Linked DNA regions of Lonchura striata. The protein of the gene in region 2 interacts with the protein of the main gene of each other region in a pairwise test. Links are inferred from orthologs where the notes say so. Each region holds a gene or a part of one and is shown on either strand. Other genes may lie near its edges.

Region 1 (7,405 bases), on a different chromosome or scaffold from region 2:
CTGGCAGTGAAGCTGTAGAATGGGTTGTATTGCTCTGGGGAATGGTTTCTCCCTCCCCAGAGACCTCTGTAGCTGTGACCTGTTAGTTTGACCCTTCCTTCCTTTCCTGACATAATTGGCTGGGAGCCAAGTAGCCCTTACTGTACTGAGCCTAGATAAGGCTCTGCCCCTTCCTGGTTCTCTCTCTTTCCCTCTTCCTCCTATGGAATAAACATCTTGGACCACATTGGGGGTTGGAGCCTCTTTTGGAATCTTCACCCAGCTCCTGGAACACTCTCCCCTCAAGGCCTTACAGATGTGGGCTAGCCTGGTAACTTCGGGGGGCTGCACAGGAAGGTGTCTCAGAGATGGAGAATAACAAACACAGGAAAATCAGGAACTGGACATGATCATGCTGTGCCCCACCCCATGGCCTTATGTCTGCTCTTCTACACCCTGCAGGAACCATGGGGAACAGGGACAATATTTCAAAGCTTGTGCTGCAGTAGGAGTAGATGTGAAAAGGGACCACCAGAAAAGGCTACTTTGATGTGGACTATCAGGTGTTATCTCCCATCTCCAAGGCCCTGGCTGCCCATGAGTGCTCAGCAGAACTCATGTACCCTGGCAGTGATGCAGAACATTGTTTTGGGATCAAGCTCATGGAGTGTAACAAGCAGAGCAGTGCCATGGGCTGGCAGCAGGTATAGCTTCAGCACACAGCAGCAAATGATATTGCAAGGGGAGTCGTGGCTCGTGGCACAAGGGCAGCTGGCATCGCTGGGGAGAGGATGTTAGGTGCAGTCTGCCTCGCCAGCCTTACAGACACATGCCTGATGGAGATCTCTGCTGCCACCCCCTTCCTGACCCATGCCAGCCCCACCAACTCCAAACTCCTACTCCTCCTACTGGGAAGTGGCCTCACCTTTGAGACCTGCAGGACACACAAAGTTTTAAAGTATCCTGATTTTTCTCCCAGTTTCAGTCAGGACAGTGTTAATTTTTGCAATAGCCAGGAAGGGTCATGGCCAGGACCTAGAGGCTATTCTGTACTGAATATTTAAAGAAAAAAGAAAAAAAAAAATAGAGACATTTCAGGCTATCTTAATTTTTACTGTTGTGGACACTGACACCTGTAATCTATCTGTGTAACCTTACTTCATTTCATCACTGCAATACCTGAGTGCCTCCCCTGTGGATATCCTGGCTCACCTGCCATTCCTCTCTTTTACAATTGTATGTCTGAAACTGGGCCTTAATAGGAGAAGAATCCTCTCAAAGCTTTATGCAAAACCATAGAAGAGATGGAGCAGCACCGGCTTGTGCTGCCATAAGCAGAAGCTGGGGCACCAGACTCCCTCTGCTTCCCTTATGCAGCATTCTTTGGTGCTGAAGGACCTTCTGATACAGCTCTTTATGGTGCTCTGCATGAGTAATATGCTACAGGCAAAGCTGGGGATGGAATAGGCACTACAGAAAGAGGGAAGATGGAGAAAACTTCCAGTGCTACTTACAGCAGGTTCAGCAGCAAAAAGCAGATTGTGGGTAAGAAAGAAGACAACCAGGTAAGGATGGTCCCTCCATCCCAGCTCCTTGTCCTGCGCTGGCTGCAAACCAGCCTGGAGGTGAAGGGAAATTACAAATGCAAGGTCAAATCCTCCCAAAGCAGCCCCAGGAGATGCAGTTCTCACCTGTGTTCAGGGTGTTCAGCTGGCACCCAGCCAGGCGGCTCTGTCCATGCTGCCCCTGCAGTGCCTAGACAGCACATTGCTCCTGCTGCTGCCCCAGCTCATGGGACCAGGAAAGCCAACACCTGCCTCTTGCTGCCCTATCTGGGGACAGCAATATGCAGTTCTTTCAGGCTAAAGTGAAATACTTGGATTTTCTGGTGTGCAAGTGATCTTTTTTTGAGATCAAGAATGGTGTTTTGATGCCAGTTAAGATTTTGGCCCTGGGACAGAAACTGTTGACTAGTGAAGGGCGGGGGAGGCCAGTGGAGAGGCTATGTGACAGCCATGGGCTAGGGCAGCTGAAGATTATTTCATTACGTCAGCATGGAAATTAAGATTGCATAGGAAATCTTTACTGTCTCTATACCTTCTGATCGTTTGATTACAACTGCACTGTGGTTTTAATCATGCTCAACATAAAATTTCCTGAATTTTGTACATGTTCACTAAAAAGAGAATTCCATTAAGCAAAGTTCTGATTTTCTCCTAGTTGTCCCTGTATGGCTGTTTCTAAATCACTTGTAAGCCTTTTCTGCCATGCCGAGTATTACACAGCACAGAGCCAAGCAAAATAAAATGATCGATATTGTAATGGACTTCTCATCGTAGTACCATGGCAGAAATAATAAATGTCATGATATATGACAACCCTTCTAAATCCCTATGGAGCCAAATGAGACACAGTAAGCATATATCTCCTACTTCCTACCCCTGCTTTTCTTCTCTGTGTGTGTTCCTCCCACATTTATTTCCTCCATAAAGGAAGACTGTAATTGTATTGAACGTGACTCTGCAGACAGGAGAATCTGCTGTGGTTCCACTGTTCCCTTCAGCAGACCCAGGTGGACTTCTGGAGCTGCAGTTTGTGAGCTGCTCAGTGCCCTGCGGGGCAGGACTTTTGGTGGCTTTGGCCAGCAGCCATGTCCTCCTGCTGGCACTACAGGTAAATGCAATTCACTCCCTTCCACTATTACTGTGTAGGATTCACCTTCCAGCTCCAGTCTGACATCTGCCTCATGCCATAACTTCATTTGAAATTTAGATAATAGTTCCCATTTTCAATCCAGCCCAAACAAATGCCTTATCTGCATCTTTGCAGCTTTTAAGGCTGAGATGTCTGATCAGTTAATGATGTCTCTCTCTGCCAGGGACACCAGCCACTGCACTTGTTGGAATTTCTGCCTCTGCTGCTCCACAGATCCCTGGGCGTATCTTAGGGCAGCTGAGGGTGTATCTATAGTGGCAACTATTTTCCCATAGTTGCCACTCTTCCTACCCAGCAGTAATTACTTCGTAAAGGTAATAAGAAATTAACCAAACCAAATGTTAGAAAATGAAATAAACACTGTTTGTTCTCTGGTTCCTTGTGAGACTTTAAGGGGAGTAAATCACAGAATCACAGAATATCCATCCTCACTCATATGCTAAACTGTGCTCCAATTTATTCCTGTACCTTGTTTTCACACACAATTTAACTATTATTGAATTTTGGTCAGCCTGTGGCAACCACCAGAAACACCTCAGTGGACAGCCTGCCCTAATGTTAATAGGATGGTAGGGGATCATATCCTGGTGAAACCATGTGTATCCTGTGGAACTGCATTTGCTGTTTGCAAAGGGGCCAGCTTCATGGAAGAGCGAGGAAGGGGAGTCTTTGACAGCGTAAGTTTCATTTTCCCATTGTGCCAGTTATTCTTCAGTTTGTCTCATTTTCAGCAACATCATTTAATGTTGATCCTTTATGAATTCCAATGAAGGTAACTCTACAAGTTACACATTTCAAATCAGAAGGGAGGTAAGAGCACCAAGAGCCTATAAACTTTTATTTTTGCAGAGTAAGTGTTCAGGTAAGTGTGAGATTAGTACACAAGTGACCCTTGTGCAGATCAGCCCCAGGACACGATGGCCTGGGATGTGTGGATGATGAACCCAGCCCAGGGGCAGTGATGGGCTCCCACCACGGTGGCAAACAAGTGCTTCCAGGACTAGTAGATCTACGTATAAAATAACCCTAGAACTTTTAACTTTGTTGTGACAGCTTTCCCCGTGCGCTAATTTCACATTAAAAAGTGGTTTGCCCCCATCATCCGCCAGCTGAAAAGGAGGTTCCCAGAGTGTTGTTGTCCCTGGCCTTCAGAGCCAGTGGCGCAGGGAGCAGTAGCTCGGGATGGGAGCCCATCCTGACAGGCAACGCACAGGAAGGGAGCTGCTTTCGTTCCTGTATGATTTTAGTCAGAGATGGCAGCAGCAGCCAGCTGCCGCCACAGAGCGAGCAGGGCGCGTTGCACCGCAGCACGGCTCTGCGGCCGGGGAGCCGCTCGGGCCGGCGCGGCTGCAAGCTCTGAGCCGGGCCCGGGCCGCGGCCGCGCCCCTTCGCTGTCCGCGCGTGCTGCGCGGCCGGGAGCGGAACGCTGCGGTCCGCACCCACGGCTCTGCCCCACGTGTGGCGCGGCTCCCCGCGGCTCCCCGCGGCTCCCCGGCGGCGGCCGCGGGCCCTGCGGGCGCGGCGGGCTCGGCCCCTCACACGGCCACGGCCACGGCCATGGCCCCGCCCCCTGGCGGCCCGCGCGCGACCACCGTCAGCGTGCGTGCGCAAGGGCGGCGCGGGGCGCCGAGGGACGGGCCCAGCGCGCGGCTCTCGCGAGAACACGAGGCTATATCAGCGAGTGGGCGGGCGCGAGGCTTCCTTTAGTGCGCGTCCACCCGAAGCGTAGTGTTCCCGGTCGGTCGTGCCCCAGCCCCGCGATGGAGGACAGCGCCATGGACATGGAGAGCATGGGCCCCCTGCGCCCGCAGACCTTCCTCTTCGGTAACGCTCGCCGCGGCCACGCTTTCCTGGGGCCCGCTGGCCCCGTCGCCCCCGCAGGCCCCGGGGCCGAGCGCCGTGCGGGGCCGCGGCCTGTGCCGGCCGAGCGCCGCCGCTCCGCGCGCGCGGCGGGGCCGGGGGCTCGGGCGGGACCGGGGGCTCGGCCGGGGGCTCGGGCGGGGCCGGGGGCGTGCGGCGGCCGCTTCCGCGCACTCCGCACGTGGCGCGCGGCCCGCACGTGGCGGGGCCCGTCGCGCTCTGTTCCGCGCTTTGTTCGCGGTGTGTCCCGCCGTTCCTAAGGATGCGGCGCCCCGGCAGCGCCCGCGGAGCACGTGGCAGCGCGGCCGGAGGCGGAGCACGTGGAGCGCCGCGGCCGCGCGCGCCTTGCTGCTCCGGGGCAGGCCCGGCCGCCACGGCGGCGGTTCCGGAGGTGCCATCGTCCCGGGCACCGCGGCGGACGCTGGGCGGGGATGCTCTGGAAGCTGCTGGGTTTAACCGGGCCGTGCGGGGAGCTGCGTGGCCGCCAGCAGGCCGCGCACTCGCGCGGGGTTTTCTTCACCCCACGTGTTCCGCTCCTTGCGTGCCCGCAGCGTGCCGCTACTTCCCTGCGAGTACGCGGCCTGGGAGCAGCAAGCTGCCAAGTAATGCTGTTTTAAATAAAGCAGGAGGCTTATAATTGGATTGTTTTACAGGCTGCGAGCTTAAAGCAGATAAGGAGTTTCAGTTCAAAGTAGATGATGAAGAAAACGAACATCAGTTGTCACTAAGAACGGCAAGTAGTGTTTGTTTTTTTTTGCTTCCCATTTAAATATACTGGTGTGCTGTGATGGTGTGTTTTTTAACGTGTCATTTATTTCTCCAAACATAATTCAGGTGATAATTGATATGTAAATCTGTATAAAGTAAACATCTCTTACTAGCAGTGGGGCATATTCTGTAATTTCAGATATTTTCTGTATTGAAAACATTTCTTCACTGATGTTTCATTCACAGCAAACAAATGCAAGGCTGGAAAACGTTAAAAATCAACTTACAGTTAGCTAGTAAATATCTGCTAAATTGAGAATTTAGGCTATACATGAGGCATCCCTAAGGTAAATAATGCAGATGCTACAGGAGCAGAGGGAGAAAGATAGATGTGTAAGAGTCATACATAGGCACACTCTTGTGGACTACTATAAACCTGATTTTGAAAACCATTTCAGTGTGTTCCATAAGCTGACTCTAACTCTCTCTTTCCCAGAAGCAGATAATAAGTAAATCTAAATTAGACAGCAGAAGGTTTATGTTTTGACTTACTGTCCTTGGTTTGGCCTTTCCAAGGATGTAACTGGGAAGCCCCATCTTTCATTCAGATAATTCATCTAGCAGACTCCCAGGAGTTCTTGGGTGGGTCCTTGGAGCTTCCTGAGGCCACACAAGTCAGACACAATATTTCAAGGCTTTTGTTCTTGGCTGATCATGTTTTTTTTGGGTAGCAAATCAATAATGTGCACTGTCTTAGCCGTCAAGAAATTAAAGAGTTGTAGCATCTTCATGGCATGTTCCTGTGTTTATTTAAATGCAAGGAAATGCTTTGATGCCTGGAAGAAGAAAGTCTTAAAATTGTTGACTAATTCCTACAGGAGAATTGATTCCTGGAGGTCACTTGCATAATGAGTATCTCCAAACACTTAATGGTGTTACTTAAAACACTTCTTTTTTTTATGTGAGTCATGTGTTTTCCATACTATATTATGAAAAGTACAGCCTGGACTTGACAAAGAGTAATTTGTTGTTAATTACAATTCCTTTTGATGGAAGAACATAGCAATGTATAGGGCAAGTCCACATGCAGATTTCTTGTATCTGAATATTTGTTACATAGCCAAAATTAGTGATACTTAAATTGTATTGTTTTACTCAAGAGTTCCTTTTCTATTTATACTTTCAAAATTAATTGTAGCATTTCTTCTGATGTTGTACAGATGGATGAAGCAGATCAATCCTCACCACTACTTTGTTGCTAGGCTTGTGGGGGGAATTAATCTTCTGTCAGTAACTTCTTTCCATAGAATAAAAAGGGATGATGCACTGGAGAAAGGGTTAAGATACCAAAGGACAAACTAGGAAATGTTTAAGATACTTGGAGGGTCTCAGACATGGTTTAAACAAAAGACCTTGTTGAGTAGAGGAAGGACTTAAAAAAAGGTAAAGGCGGCAAAAACCTGCGGGCTGGTCTATGCTCCCGATAAAAGCCTAGATGAGTAAAGACAGTGTTAAAATACAAATGCAGTGGGGGACTTGGGCATGAGGTACAGCAAGATGGGAAGAAAAGGGTAAAAGGGAAAAGAGGTGGATAAATGTAGGAGGTAAAAGTGCCATGAGTTTCTGTAAATGTCTTACTAATGACAGTTGTGTATAGGGATGGTCACTGATTCATCACCTATTTGGTGTGCATTCCTTCAATATAGAAGTTAAAGCACAGGCATGGATGCTTGCCAAACACAGAGAAATAAATCACAAATAACTGCTATAGTATTAAACTAGGGCAAATGACAGGGTATGCACTAAAATTTTTGTCCCACTAGCTGAGCAATTCAGTGTTGTTGACAGCACATTTGAGAGGTGAGATCAGAGCTGCAATTTCACCTCTTTGAATTGCTAATAACAAAATTTGCCAGTAGTGAATCCAGTGTTCTGTTTTCCAGCCTTCAGTCTGATACATCTAAATCTGGACAATTACAGTCTCATTAAAGCTCAGCTCTTGAAGAATGGAAACTTCCGTGCCTCTGCCTGAAGTGTTCACACCTACATCTCCTGTGGGGGTTGGAAAGATTTCTTGTGAGGGGTTTCAGGAAAGGAAACACAGAGCCTTTGTGCACTGCTGTTGGGAATAGTTGTAGTATGA
Region 2 (7,425 bases):
AAGTGAGAAGCAACTGAAGCGCCACCTCACACTTTAGCAGGATACCTTACAAGTGTGCCAGGTACTGTATGATCTCCATTTATTTTTTGAACATAGGTAGCTTTATTTCAATGCTAATTCTAAGCAAAACACCCAAAATGTAAATTAATTCAGTGCAATTCTCTCCAAGTTACAGGCATCTACAATAACAAGGGTTCTTCTGCCCTACAGTTAATTAACATTAGACTGCTCATGCAATGGCATAGCAGAGGCATTGTACACTTCAGCAATCACTGCCTGTGCCATTCCCCACTCATCCCTCTGCATTTGCTATGCAGACACAGCTCTCAACTTCTGCACATTATGATTTCAGCTCATTCTCCAACTTCCTTCCATCTGCTAAAATCATCAGCAAAAACAAAATAGCAAAGACAAAACAGCAAAGAAAAACATGAAAGTGGTAAGCCAGGACCAAGCCAAAGCCGAAGCTGAATGAGGTCCTAAACAAAATTCAGCCAAGGCTGGAATAGATTCAGGACCAGTGTGCATGTGCTACATATGGTCATTGATTTTACAGTCCAGCATGTTCCAGACAGACTGTTTCTTGGTGATACAATATCCCCCCCCCAAAAAAAGGTGCAGTCAGTAAGAAAGTACTAACAGGATCTACAGTTGGGAGATTGGAAAGTCTCCTCCTCTTCCTGCTTGGGCCTGGTACATTGGTGGAGTGATGGGCATCATCGAAGTCGCCGCCACTGACGCTGCTGGAAGGAGAGGTGGCTCTTCGCCTCTTGGAACCCATGGAATCCAACTTCTTCTATAATGAACAGAAACATCCTTAAAGCCCTGCCATTGCATCCCAACCCTCTGCTGAGAGCTACCCACACAATTCCCAAGAGTAAAGGAAATCAAAATGCTCCTACAGTTTTATAGTCACCAATGATAGCAAGGCCAGAAACCCCCAAGCTCACACTCACTGAATTAGAAATTCTTCACATAATATGTTCTTAAACTCTCTACATTTTCATACCCCATCCCATGCGCAAAAACTAAGCAAGAGCCACTGTTTTCAACAAAAAAGCTGTACAGAGACACATGCTCAGTTCTGGTGTAAAAACACTTAATTCCACGGCAAAGTACAAAACCACAAAAAACAGACCAAAAAAGAAAAAAAAACAACCAACCAAAACAAATTACAAATGAAAAGGGCCACACAATACCTTGTGTTATGTTCAAGAGAAAAAAAGGACTGGATCGCCATGGGACTGCCCACTCCCACTTTATGTGTGGGATGAATGGCTCAACCATGGAGAAACAGAAAAAGCTCCCTCCTCTTCTGGCCATAGTTTTGCATTTACCAACACAAGCAGTGACAAATGAATAACCACCATCCAACAACTATGGTAATTTATGGAACAAGTTATTGGCTCTTTCCCAACTTCCAGTGACAGCATCAGAAACGTATCTTTATTTGTGGCTATCTCAAAGGCTGAGCACAGAACAGATGCATCTATCCCAGCCCATCCCCATTTTCCAACCAAATCCAGGGATTTCTTTCAGGAGGCACTCAGATGGTTGACAAGGTATGGCAGCACGAGGTAACTGCATTAAAGCATTTCTCTTAGAGACAACTTCAGGCACACACATGAGATGAGTAAGGTAGGAATAATTAACAGCTAGGAAAAAGAAAAGCAAAAGGCCAAGGCAGAGGGATGGAGATACAATCAATAATTTACCAGATTTACCAGAGTAGAACCAGCACCTCGAAAAGCCAATCTCCTCATAGTGTCTGATGGGCAAGCACAGATACTGCGAGAAGGGGACACTCTAAGAGTGGCAAACCAGTAATGGTGTTAGTACAGCCACAACTGGAAGACAAGAAAAAGCAAAGAGAGAGAGAAGAAAATTCAGACTAGGTAGATAAAGAATAAAATCAAAGAATAAAGTGGATAATTACAGTGACAGAGAAAAAAAGCAAGAAACAGAAGGCAACTTTTTATAGCCCAGCAGAAACTCTACAAAGTAATTCTGTACACAGAATGCTAGACACTTCTGTCATTGTCACAGTAAAAATACATTTCTCTCATGTTCCTGAATATGCATTACAGATTTCACCGCCACTTGCTAGAGAATGATTCATCAAGAGCAGAAAGTAAACAGAAGTGATACCTGACCTGAGAGTACAAACCAGAAAGCTGTAAAACTTACAGAATGCAAAGCAGTACAGTGCTTATAAGAACATAATCTTAAGGTCAACAAGCATTTATTAAACTCTAAGATGATGCACCTCCAAAATTCTTCAGAGTAGACTTTTATACTCAGAAGTAAGCAGTAAGTATGCAGCCATACGCTAAAAAAAAAAAAAAAGTTTCAATTTCTAAGCCTCCAAGCCTTATTTTTTTCACAGAAATTCCATGTGAAATACACAGAACCATTTAATAGCAAAATGTTTGCTTCTGCGTAGTTCTTCCAACTCCTGCCTTCAATCAAACCCCAGAGAGGTTCTTTTACAGTTCAGCACTCTGAACATTCTCGTAACATGAACATGCAGAGAAGCTCTGTGGTTTATCAGCAGGCAATTCATTTTGGGAACTGACAACAGCCTCAAGCCTTGGCACAGCCTCCAACTTCCATCTGAGGGCTACAGTCTGGAGTGGCTCCACCAGGCAGGTGCTGGGAAACACAAGCCCTTGGTTGTGGAGGAAAGGCAGGAGGGACTACCAGAATCAATAATTCTGCTTCAACCAGGAACCCAAGAGTACACTCAGACCAGTCCCATCCTGAAATAAAGATCTGGGAAGCTCCCAACCAGAACTGCCTGCAGACTGTACATCAGCTGCTCCATGTGTACTGTCCGGGGCACAATGCTGTGGATCTCAGCCATACTCTGACACTGCTGTGATCAAGGTACCCTCACCACTCACACAGCCTCCAAAACACGTTTTTCTCCTCTAATAACCCTGTAAAACATGCATCAGTCTGGACAACATCACAAACACTCAGGGAGAGACCTGCTGATGTACCACTCACTGAAGGTGAGGCTCCAAAACACAAACTTCTTCCTAAACTGCCACACTCCTAAGCACAGAGAACTCAGCTGTGCACAGAAACACAGCTTTGCTGAAGAACCTCTCTCCCTGAGTTTCTTCTGCAATTGCACTGCTGGCTCACAGGTCTCTCAACAGTCACACCAAGAATCTCCACTGCTACCACTGACCACCTCCAATTCAACAGCAGCTTGAGCATCTCCTCGGTAATTGCCCCCACCAGCCATAAAAATGTCACAAAACCACAGCAAGAAAGGCTTTGGCCATTACTAATTCACATGTATACTGATATACACAACGGGGGGAAGGAAGGAAGGCTGTCCCTCCCAAAAGCTGTAGGGAAGGACCACAACAAGTGTCACCCACTCCAACCTCCCTACACCCACAGGTTTTACACTCGTCGGACATAACACACTTAAAATAAAACGTTCTAACACACTAGAGGTTCATTTTCTGCCTCCAGGCAGAGGAAAGCGAAAAGCCAACAGATACCACGGGTAGTACTTATTGCTATCAGGATCTCCCACGTTTCACCAGAAACACGAAACACGGTAAATTTAGCAAAGGGAACAGGGGAGGGAAACGCAAAGGGAACAGGGGAGGGAAAAGCCGGAATTTCCCCCGGTTACCGATCCCATTGAAAGCTGCTACGGGATGGGAAGAGGGGGCTGGCAGCAGCCAGGCACGGTAACAGGGCAAAGCTGACGGGAAAGCGAGAGGGACAACACATCCATCGTTTTACCGGCACCGGGACAAGGAACAAAGGCAGCAAATCCGGAACTGCCCGAGGCGCCGGAGCCCTGCCCGGGAGGTGAGGCGCTATCCCCGGCAGGAAACAAAGAAAAGCCTTTCCCGGCACCGGGCGGCCAGGACGGGGTCCCGGGCCCGCCCCGCGGGGCACGACCCGCCGCGCTCAGCGCGCGGGCCCGGGCGGCGCCGGCACGGGAACACGGCGGGAGCGGGGCGGGGAGGAGGGGCTGAGGCGCACCCGGGCCCGGGCAGGTGACGGGGGCCGGCGGCGCTCGGTGCCCCGGGCCCGGCGCGCCGGGGCCGCTGCGCGCTCGGGCGGCGCCGCCACACAAAGGGAGGCAGCGGCCTCCAAGCTCCGGCCCGCGCCCCGCCCGCGCCGCTCACCCCGCCGGCTCCGCTCCGCCTCCCGCAGCCGCGGCCGACCCGGGGTGGGTGCGCGGGGTCCGCCCGGCCCGGCCCGTCCCGCCGGTACCGCCCGTCCGACACCGCCGGTGCCGCCGCCGCCGCTGCCGCAAAGCGCGCCCGGCCGCCCAACGCGCCGAGCCCGCGCGACACCCCGGCGGGGCAGCGCCGGCGCGCTTTACGGCAGCGCCCGCCGGCGGGAGCACGTGGCGGCGCCATGAAGCGGCCGAGTGAGCGCCGGGAGCGGCTCCGGGACGGGCACGGGCACGGGCACCGAGCGGGCGGGAACGGCACGGGGAGGGCGCGGGCGGCGGCCCGGCACCGGGGGGCGGCGGCCGCCCGTGGCCGAGCGAGCGGCAGCGGTGGAGGAGGCGGGAGTCGGGGCCGGGGGATGTTTGCGGCGCTGACGGGCGCGGTGCGTTGCAGAGCTGCGGAAGGCGAGCAAGAGGCTGAGCTGCCACAAGCGCTACAAGATCCAGAAGAAGGTGAGGCCCGGCCCAGCGCGGCCCCCGCGCCGCGTTCGGCGATTTTGGGGCCGCTGCGCTGAAGTTTTGGGCCTCAGAGTGAGAACGTTTCTTGTGCCTGCCCTCATTTCTTGTGCTTCCCTCAGATAAGAGAACACCACCGGAAAGTCCGCAAGGAGGCCAAGAAACGCGGCCACAAGAAGCCCAAGAAAGACCCCGGAATTCCCAGTGCTGCGCCGTTTAAGGAAGAGCTGCTGCGGGAAGCGGAGCAAAGAAAGCAGAGGGTAAAACACAGTTTTCGGTAAAGAGAACAAGAACTGAGAGCATCCCCTTCTGTAAGGAAGCTTTGTGTGCACTCAGAGGAGCAGTCATGGTAGATGGTCCCAGCAAACTCGTGCTTTGGAAAAATGATGTATTTATTTCCAGCACCGTACCGTGTGCATTGATTTGCTCTTTTATTTTTAACCTTCGTTTCCTCACTGGGATGGGAGCATGCTGGAAGTGTCTTTTCTAATGCAGTCAGAATTCCCTGTGGTGCTGGGATACAGAAATGTCCCATCAGAGTGCTGGGAGTTAAATCATGGCATTATGTGATTACACAGAAAATCGGGATCTGCTGTCTGCAGTGTGCACTAATGTGGCATTTGTCAGCTGTAGTGGTGGCTGCAGCGCTGCTGTTCTGGGATCAAGCAAATGCATGGCTGCCTCTGGGTAGGATGCAAAAAAAGAGTTCCCAGAGTTACTTGGACAGCCAGGACTTCTAACTGAGCTGGCTCAGGAGCTTGGGTCAGGAATGGGGAGAAAGAACATTCTTCCTTAGCACCTTCGAAGATGTTTTATCTGCCCTGGGTTTTTGTTTGTGATCAGCTTGAAGAACTGAAACAAAAGCAGAAGCTCAATAGACAGAAAGAACATGAAAAGAAGAGGAAGCTGGAAGCTAAAAAGAATGCAGTCACAATCAAGGAGAAAGCAGAGGGAAAGGTAGGGGTCCTGTATGATTTTGATTCCTTGAACCTGGAGAAGTCATCCTGAAACTGCACCTTCTTAAGCAGCAGTTTACATTTTCATGCTGAATATGCACACAAGTAGTAGACACTAATTCTCATTTAAATAATTTCCTTTTGTTTTTATTTGCTTTAGGACTCCCCTGGCAAATCTAAAGGAAAGACTAAAAAACCACTGAATAAAAATTCTAAGAAATCATTCTGCAGGGAGCTTATGAAGGTGAAATGCTTTAACTATTTTTTTTATCATTAGATATAGATATATAGATATTTTATATCACTAAAGAGTCAGCAATAAGATCACTTGTTATTTTGCTTTTTTTGTATTACTGTTTAGAGCACAAAGTTTGTCTGTGATAAACTAGAACACTGATGGGATTTTACAACAGAAAATGTTAACTATTTTTGTAAGCCACAGCTATAGCAGAATTGTAATCTGGTCTGTGATGTCTTGTTGGATTCCTGTCTTTTTTCTGACCCAGGTGCTTGAGGCCTCAGATGTAGTTCTGGAGGTTTTGGATGCCAGAGATCCAATGGGCTGCAGGTGTCCTCAGCTGGAGCAAGCTGTCACTTCCTCTGGAGGGAACAAAAAGCTGCTCTTGGTTCTGAACAAAATTGGTAAGAAACACAGGTTTTCTCAAAGTGTTACTGGCACTGTGTTTCTGTGGTGGGTGAGCTATGAAGATTTTAAAGGAATCTGAGATTCCATTGAAGACATGAGATCCAACTCTGAGCTCACTACAAAGGCTGGAAATTACCCAGTACCAGTAGCTAATTAAAGAAAACAAAATACCAAGAGCAACAAGAAGAGCAAAGGGAACTCTGTGGTAGAAGTCAGAATCTTTCACAGATCATTCTGTACCATGCAAAGTCTTCTAGCCAGAGCCCAGCATTAAAAGCCTAATACAGAGGCCAGAAATGTAATTGTGATATGTTCTGCTAAGGCAGAAAGAGAGACTCTGTGTGCCTTTGGGGAAGGTATCCAGTACTTCATATTAGAGTTCTCAGCCAAATGGTATTTGTCATGATAGGATTAATTTAAGGAGTGAAAGAACTGCTCTTCTTTCCAGATTTGGTGCCAAAGAACAACATAGAGAAATGGTTGAATTATTTGAAGAAGGAGTTTCCAACAGTTGCTTTTAAGTCAGCAACAATTATGAAGGACAAGACTATGGTAAGAGCACTGCAGGCTGTCCCACGAAAAGTTCATGTGTTTGCAGTCATACATGTTGGAACATCTTTAAAATTCCTTTCTCCCTGGTTTGGTTGCACTTTTTGGTTGATGGATGTGCCTTTACACTTCAATTGAGCTTTGCAATACAGTGGGAGAATTCTTAGCACGGAAATTACAGTAGATTAATAAATCTAAGTATCCATATTTTATCTTCCTTAATAGCTCCTGACCATGGGCTTTTTTTTGCCTTTGAATCTGGTAGCAGGAACAGGTCACAAAAAGACATGCACGTGTTGATTTCGCAGAAACCACTCAGTATTTTGGAAGCAAATGCCTTTTGAAGCTTCTTCAAGGGTATGGCAAGACCCAAGACAAAGCCATTCAGGTTGGGGTTGTAGGTAAGTGTTTGGAGAAACAGGAGGAGTTTCTTTCTCCTATAAAGCTTTGGGATCCTGTATTCCTGGACTGGGTAAAACTGCTGACACCTGGTTTGCTAATGAGCTTTCTAGTCACTGTTCTTTGCTCCAAGACTCTCAGTGTTGTAGTGCTTCAGCTGCCAGGGATCCATGGTGCACTGCCATGTGCAGCACGGGGATCTGTGGGAG

The links. The genes of interacting proteins can lie anywhere in the genome.
Region 1: the proteins of GNL3 (region 2) and NPM1 interact in a two-hybrid assay, tested with the Homo sapiens proteins (2 studies listed by BioGRID, with this or other methods). The link is inferred for Lonchura striata from reciprocal best matches to the Homo sapiens genes GNL3 and NPM1.

The regions. Positions count from the first base shown.
Region 1 is NC_134617.1:17,420,579-17,427,983, reverse strand, and holds the start of NPM1 (nucleophosmin), read left to right. Parts: upstream 1-4,353; 5' UTR 4,354-4,454; coding exon 4,455-4,518; intron 4,519-5,207; coding exon 5,208-5,287; intron 5,288-7,405. UniProt on the Homo sapiens protein: Involved in diverse cellular processes such as ribosome biogenesis, centrosome duplication, protein chaperoning, histone assembly, cell proliferation, and regulation of tumor suppressors p53/TP53 and ARF.
Region 2 is NC_134614.1:9,332,905-9,340,329, reverse strand, and holds the start of GNL3 (guanine nucleotide-binding protein-like 3), read left to right. Parts: upstream 1-4,354; 5' UTR 4,355-4,395; coding exon 4,396-4,408; intron 4,409-4,604; coding exon 4,605-4,663; intron 4,664-4,788; coding exon 4,789-4,926; intron 4,927-5,509; coding exon 5,510-5,623; intron 5,624-5,782; coding exon 5,783-5,866; intron 5,867-6,128; coding exon 6,129-6,264; intron 6,265-6,319; exon of another isoform or gene 6,320-6,392; intron 6,393-6,716; coding exon 6,717-6,820; intron 6,821-7,082; coding exon 7,083-7,218; intron 7,219-7,425. Other genes in the region: PBRM1 (protein polybromo-1), read right to left, coding at 641-796, 1,716-1,763. UniProt on the Homo sapiens protein: May be required to maintain the proliferative capacity of stem cells. Stabilizes MDM2 by preventing its ubiquitination, and hence proteasomal degradation.